Linked DNA regions of Solanum lycopersicum. The protein of the gene in region 1 interacts with the protein of each later gene in a pairwise test. Links are inferred from orthologs where the notes say so. Each region holds a gene or a part of one and is shown in the gene's direction. Other genes may lie near its edges.

Region 1 (3,929 bases):
TTTCTATTAATTGATTTTAGTAAAGTTATTCAAAAAATGATTTGAAAATAAATAATTGATATTTTTATTGTGTTATATTAAAATAATAAATAAAAATTAATATATTATTTAATATAGTGAATGAGTAAAAATGAAACGGAGGCGAATGTAATGATATATTGGAGCTTTGACGTGGCAATTAGTTCCACTTTTAAGACGCGCTCAAAATTTCAATCATTTTTAATTTACATTTGCATTTGAATTTGAATTTCATTTTAATTTGCATTTGAAATTTTCATTTGCATTTAGGTGGGAACCAGTAAGACACACAAGTGGTATGTAATATAGTGAGAAAATGACAAAATTTGTCCCTTATTTTTATGGTAATGTTTAAAGTACTCCCTTAAGTATTCTTTGAATAATTCAAGTCATTTAAATTATTAAAAGTTATTTTATCGGTTTCAATTTGTTTGTCTGATTTTGATTTAACTAAAAATACAAGAATTATAGAAGACTATTGTATTCTATGATTTTAAATTAAAGATATATGAAACGTATAAAAAAAATTTATTTTACAGTCGTATACATGTCACATTAAAAATTGAAATTAAAAACTTACAAAAAAAATTATATTTAAAACAAACTAACAAACAAATCAAAGTACGTGAAAAAAGTACTTTTAGTTTTGGCTAAATGTTTAACAAACTTTATCTGCTAAATATTTAATTGAAATGTAAACCTACATAATCAAAACCACTAGAAAAGTTTATCAAATAGGGTATTTTGAATACAAAAAGCTACACTAAATCTCAAAAATATTAGAAATTGCACCTAAAATATTATATCAAACTCTCAAAAAAAAAAAAAACATCTGCAAAAACATTGCCTCTTAGATATATTAATTTTCACTGAATTCCTTATTTTCATTTTTTTCATTAAATCGTTAGAATTTTTCAATTTTGTCTTAGTTTCACTTCTTTTAAGTGAACAACCTCTCTAACTCAAAAAAAAAAGTATGTATCAATTCTACGTACATCTTACTCTGTTCAACCTCTAGTTATTCAAATATGTTATTGTATTTGACGAATATAACAAGTTTTAACTTTTGACAAACTTAAAAAACTAAAATGTTCATAACAAACTTTAGGGTATATTTTGAACTTACTCTAAAATATTAGTGACCATATCTATAATTTTATTGTATGTAGTGGACCAAATTTTGAAGATTTGACTTTGACCATTAACACTAAAAAGAGGAGAGAAAAAATTGAACTCACCAAGAAGAAAAGTCACCCTTTCCTCCTCCTTTCCTTTCTCTAACTCATATATACCTCTGAACCCTTCACTCATTTCTTCACAAAAAAAAATTACTCAAAACAAATAACAACTCCCAAATCTTACAACTAATTCAATACTTGATTTTCAAGTTTCTTGATCCATCCATCTCTAAGGTAATGTTTTGTTCTCAAAATTTTATTGCTTTTAGTTTCTTCTAGTATGGGGTTTTTGTCATTTTATGGTAAAGAATGCTTATGGGTTTGTGAAAAATATTGAAAGTTTGGAACTTTTTGGTGATGGGGTTTCAGTTCTTGTTGACTAGTTGAAGTTATGAGATGGGTTTCTAGTTTTTGTCTTTTTATGGTTAATTTAGTGTATGGGTATGGAGTATTTTGAAAAAAGATTGAAACTTTGGAACTTTTTGTTGACTAGTTCTGTGTTTTTTTCTTTATGTTGTTGAAGTTTTATGAGATCTATTCTTTTGGTGGGGTTTACTCTGATGGGTTCATTGGATTTAGGGAAAAAAGTTGGGATTTTTGGTTCAGTATTTCTGATGTTTTATGGGTTTGATTTAGTAGCAAATGTAAATCTAGGAAGAGTTATAGTAATGATTTAGGTTTATACTGTTTGTTACTTTTGGAATTTGTGATTTTATATGTGTTGGATGGAGTAGTAAATCTAAATCTGAAGCTTTTTGATGACTTGCAGGAATTGATGTGTACTGGTTCAAGGAGTAAAGTTTGTCCTTCTGATTTAAACATGGATAAGAAAGATGGGCATGGTAGAAATTGTTCAAAATTGCTTGAATTGTCAGCTTCAGATGATCTTGCTAGCTTCATATGTGAAGTTGAGAAAGGTTGTGCTGTTGATGAGTTCAGCTTTTGGTATGGGAGAAGATTTGGTTCAAAAAAGATGGGGTTTGAAGAGAGAACTCCTCTGATGATTGCTTCCATGTATGGAAGTATTGAGATTTTGAAGTATATTGTTGGAACTGGTAAGGTTGATGTCAACAGGGCTTGTGGCTCTGATGGTGCAACTGCTCTTCACTGTGCTGCAGCTGGTGGGTCGGAATCATCGGTCGAGGTTTTAAAGATCTTGATTGATGCTTCTGCTGATGTTAATGTCTGTGATTCTAGTGGAAACAGGCCTTGTGATGTGATTGCTTCTTATCCTAAGTCTTTGAGGAATTCGAAAAGGAAATCGCTGGAGTTGTTGTTGAATGGCTGCTTGGCTGAGCTTGCTGAGTTGGAGGAGGAGGAAGAAGGAAAAACAGCAATTCAGATGACGAAGGAAGGTAGCGAGAAGAAAGAGTATCCGGTCGATACTTCCTTGCCTGACATAAATGATGGGATTTATGGGAGTGATGATTTCAGGATGTATTGTTTTAAGGTTAAGCCATGTTCAAGGGCTTATTCTCATGACTGGACTGAATGCCCTTTTGTTCATCCAGGGGAGAACGCGAGGAGACGCGATCCAAGGAAGTATAACTATACTTGTGTTCCATGTCCCGAGTTCAAGAAAGGCGTTTGTGCAAAGAATGATTCTTGTGAGTATGCTCATGGTGTATTTGAGTCATGGCTTCACCCTGCTCAATATAGAACCCGTCTCTGCAAGGATGAGACCGGGTGCTCAAGGAAAGTTTGCTTCTTTGCTCACAAGCCCGAAGAGCTGCGCCCCTTGTATGCGTCCACTGGTTCAGCTATCCCTTCTCCAAAGGCTAGTCCAGTTGGGTCGATGGACATGTCAACATTGAGCCCTCTGGCTCTTGGTTCTTCATCCATGTTGTTGCCTGGTACTTCAACGCCACCGATGTCTCCTGCTGTTACATGTTCGTCTCCAATGGGTGGAAACATGTGGCAGAACAAAGCGAACATCACCCCACCTGCATTACAGCTACCTGGCAGTAGGCTAAAGACATCTCTAAACGCTCGGGACTTGGACTTGGACATGGACATGCTTGGCTTGGAAAGCATCCGCACGCAGCAGCAACTAAGACAGCAATTGATAGATGAGATGGCTGGTCTCTCTTCACCGTCTTATTGGAACAAGGACAATCGGATGGCAGATTTGAAGCCTACGAATCTTGATGATGTTTTCGGATCCATGGATTCTCAATTGCTGTCCCAATTTCAAGGCCTTTCTCCGAGAGTTACATCCACCACCAGCTCTCAGTTGTACTCTCCATCGGTTTCTCATTTGCAAGGTCTCTCACCTAAGGTGTCAAGTAACGGCTCCCAGATGCAATCTCCAACCGGGCTACAGATGCGACAAAACATGAACCAATTTCAATCAAGCTATACTAACATTCCTCAATCATCGTCTCCGATGAGGAAGCCCTCAACCTATGGATTCGACTCCTCAGCAGCAGTGGCTCAAGCTGTCATGAACTCGAGGTCTGCTGCTTTTGCAAAGCGTAGCCAGAGTTTTATTGACCGTAGTGGAATGGGCCATCGTGCTGTTCCCAATGGTGTTGCTAACTCACCACCTTTGATGTCATCAGACTGGGGCTCCCCTGATGGGAAACTGGAATGGGGCTTCAACAGTGATGACACAAACAAGCTCAAGAGATCTCAATCTTTTGGTTTTCGCGGTGGAAATGGTGCTCCAACAAGATCAACAATCACACCCTCTCCACTCAACGAGCCAGACGTGTCGTGGGTTCATTCCTTGGT
Region 2 (3,929 bases), on another chromosome or scaffold:
TTCTTGACTTTGACTTCTTACAAAGTAAAGTAGGATTTCAAAATCAAATTTGAAATCAAATTAATATTTTCTCCGGTCATAAATATAATTAATCTCAAAATTTTAATTTTATTTGCAAACTAAACGTCCATTTATTCAATTTTTTGTCCATGTGGTACAACAATAGAGGTGTGGAGTGAGAAATCAGGAGTATATTTTTCAATTGAGACGTGAATATAATGCTAATAAGATATTATAATAATTTTAACATTTCAAAGAGAGACCAAACATGGCCTACAAAAAATAGAGGTTTAAAGTCCCAATAGAAGAAAATTAATGGAGTGGAAGTAGAATCCAAAACTGTTCTGTTTTTGGCTATATTTTGTGAACCTTTTTTTGTAACTGATTTAGCATTTAAGGCATTAGTTGAAAGTGAACCTCCAAAAACAGAGAATCAGATTAGATTAATCTCTTTTAATTAACATGTTAGAAAAAAGTCATAAAGCAAGGGCAATTTAGTCCAAACAACTAAATATTCCATCCCATTCTTATTTCAAGAAAATGGAATTTAAGTCAACAAACGTAGCCGACCGCCTAAAGACGCAGAATCTTTGAAAAGTAAAAATACAATAAATAAATAAACACTTTTTACTTTGACCCGTCTAATTTATGTTCTCTAAATTTATTTATTTTTAAAAATAAATTGATAATTTTATTTAATTTTTTGCTAGAATGTTTAAGAAAAATAAATAAATAACGGCATGTTAATATGTATCATATATTATTAGTTTAAAAATGCATTTTTTTTTATAAAAGATAATTTCTTAAATTTTGTGCAAGTTAAAACGAAATTTATAAAATTGTATAGATGAAGTATACTACTTTTCAAGAGTTAATTTAATTATTTTAAAAGTTAAATTAAATAAAACTTAATACTTAAATTTTCATAAACGACTTAGTCAGATCTCACTTATGAAATTTTTCTGAATATATTATTGTAAAGAAGTTACATATATGCTTTTATTTATATATTTTGAAAAACTATACTATATAAGTACTACTATAAATCATTCCCTTCATATTAACAATTGTGTTCACATCTATTTTGAGATGTCCAACAATACTTGTCATTTTATGAAATTATTAAATAATATTACACTTAGTTTTTAATTACTCTTATTTTTAATTATAGTAATTTCTCTATTACATTTTTCAAAACATTATATTGATTTTACTCAAAGGATGATATAGTAATCCTTCCGTCCACTTATTTGTAATGTACACTTTTTGAAAATTAATTTAACTAACTTTAAAGTTAAATTATAACATTAATTTGATATTTTAAATAAACTTTAGATATTAAAAAAAATACTATAAATTGTAAAATTTTGCATATCAATATTATGAGAAATTACATTATAAAATGTTAATCAAATCTATAATAGTTTGACTCTAAAAAAAATTATGACAACTAAAAATTAATGAAGTTAGTAATATATTAATTATTTATAGTTTGTTAATTTTTTTTTTTTTGCAAAATCAATAATGAACAAATATAATTAGACAAATAACTAATAATTTTCCTCAAAAGAAAAAGGAAAATATCCCTATAAAGAAAAAAGATAAATTAATTAAATTGAATTTTCAGATTCCTTGATTATATGAGTAACCGTGTTTCCGAGTTAACTCAAATATGCGACGACCCGAATGTGAAAAACAATATCGAATCTGTTGAAGCTTTTAGAATCCAACTTTCCACTTTTACCCTCGTTTTCGTTGAAAAGTGAAACTGTGCTATAAATATAAGACTTCTTCAACCCTTTTCTTTATTCATTCTATCTAGGCAATGTGAGAAAGTGATACAACAATTAAATATATTTTTTTTTATAAAAAAAATTATGGGTTCAAATTCTAAAGAAATGAACATTGATTTGAATTTTGTTTATGTACCCAAGTTAATTTCAGATGTTTTAACTGAAGTTTCTGCCATGGATGACATCTCCAAGAAATTAAAAAAGCTCAATCAGTTTCTTGTTCCTTTAGAAGAAGAACTCACAAAAATCGAAGCTTTTAAACGTGAATTGCCCTTGTGTATGCTTCTTCTCAAACATGGTTAGTTTTTTTTTTTGAATTTTTTTCTCTATTTTTTCAATTTTCTACATTTTTTTAGGGGTTATTTATTTACTTTTTGTTTTTAATTCTTGTGGCAGCTATTGAGAGATTAAAGGCAGAAGCTTTGCTGTATAAGGAGAAAGATAAAAGCCCTGTGATGATGGAGGAATTCATCCCACTGAAGAAGGGTAATTCTGATGAAATTGGAAGGGTAAAAAAGTCAAATGATTTAAGTGATAAGAAAAATTGGATGAGCTCTGCTCAGCTATGGAGCACTCCAGTTCAGTATGAAAGCTTTAATCTTCAAAACTTAAAACGGGTAAGTTTTTCCCCCTTTTTTTTTTTTTTTTTTTTTGTAAAATCGTTTTGACATTTTTTTATACCATTGTTGATTAATCAGAGTGGTGTAGAAGATAAAGCCAAGGAGAAGCAATACCAGTTAGGAGCATGTAAATTGACGAGTGAAAGAGGGGCATTTTTGCCATTTCAAAGACAAGCTTTGAAGGTAGACAAAAAATGTTTGGCAGTGAAGGATTTATCTCTGTCAATGGCAGTGACAGTGGGTGAAGGAGAAAACCGTGAAAATCCAATTGATGTGAGTGTCAAAAGAGAGAACGGCCCATCAAATTCAAATGGGTGTGATGGTTTTTCACATGACAAATCACTACAGAGGAAACAGAGGCGTTGTTGGTCTCCAGAATTGCATCGCAGATTTGTTGATGCTCTTCATCAACTTGGAGGTCCACAAGGTAATTGTCGGTGTTCGCATTAATTTGCGTTCACCTTTGATTATTTTGTGAAAAATGAATAGTTAATCTTGTTGAATTGCTGAAAGTATTTGATTAAAATATAATATTACTATTGTTGGAGTCTCACATCATTCATTTAGAAATGCAAATGTCGTCTATTCTTTATCATGAAAATCAGATCCGTACCAATTCATTGTTTTCTAGCCATGTGAGGATCGGGTTGGAGTAGAATGTATTGTTTAATAAAAGGAATTTGTATATGATCTTGAGCAGGACGAGCTAGCTTTTGGATCGATTAGTTCTAGTATTAATTTCTTTTTATCATTTAATTCTGATCATAAGAGAAAAAAAATAGACTCGCAATTACAAAAGTCTTTCTTTTTTACTAGTAATAGTCGCCGCAACTATGGTTAAAATATTGTTATCAATTTTTAACATCACCAACATGCTATTATTTCATTATCATTTTTTTTTCTTTTGTACTAGGATTTTATTATATATGTCACTCTATATACTTTTTATTATCCAACAAAACATTAACAATAATTTTTGAAATGTTATCCTGCAGTGGCTACACCAAAACAGATCAGAGATATCATGCAAGTGGATGGCCTGACCAATGACGAAGTGAAAAGCCATTTACAGGTATCCTATTACGGTCTTTCAACAAATAAGAGGCTTATATTTTGTTCCCATGATACTTGTGTTAGAAATTATGGCGGAGCCAACAATTTTAATATTGCAATCTTGTAGAGTGAGCTAGTGAATGAATTTATGTAAAAAATTGCTTTTACGGATTCAATTGAACCTCTTTCAATATAATGAGTGTTTGTTGTACATCGTGTTGATCAAACTATTTATTTTGTGATATGCAGAAATATAGACTTCATGTGCGACGAGTCCCAGCATCAGGTTGTTCATGGTCTACTGTGGATGAAAATGGGGAGTCTTCAAAGAATAATGGTACACAATCTGGTTCTCCTGAAGGGCCACTTCATTTTACTGGTTCAGGTTCAGCCAAAGGGGTGTCTGTGAATGAAGAAGAGGATAATAAATCGGAAAGCTATAATTGGAATGGACAGCTTCACA

Evidence for each region.
Region 2: the proteins of zinc finger CCCH domain-containing protein 29 (region 1) and transcription factor HHO5-like interact in binary tests that used the Arabidopsis thaliana proteins (3 or more experiments, as listed by UniProt). The link is inferred for Solanum lycopersicum from reciprocal best matches to the Arabidopsis thaliana genes CZF1 and AT4G37180.

Annotation. Positions count from the first base shown.
Region 1 is NC_090804.1:66,046,441-66,050,369, reverse strand, and holds the start of zinc finger CCCH domain-containing protein 29, read left to right. Parts: upstream 1-1,214; 5' UTR 1,215-1,430; intron 1,431-1,965; 5' UTR 1,966-1,971; coding exon 1,972-3,929. UniProt on the Arabidopsis thaliana protein: Involved in salt stress response. May positively modulate plant tolerance to salt stress.
Region 2 is NC_090801.1:68,283,186-68,287,114, forward strand, and holds the start of transcription factor HHO5-like, read left to right. Parts: upstream 1-1,640; 5' UTR 1,641-1,877; coding exon 1,878-2,091; intron 2,092-2,189; coding exon 2,190-2,410; intron 2,411-2,491; coding exon 2,492-2,840; intron 2,841-3,408; coding exon 3,409-3,485; intron 3,486-3,715; coding exon 3,716-3,929.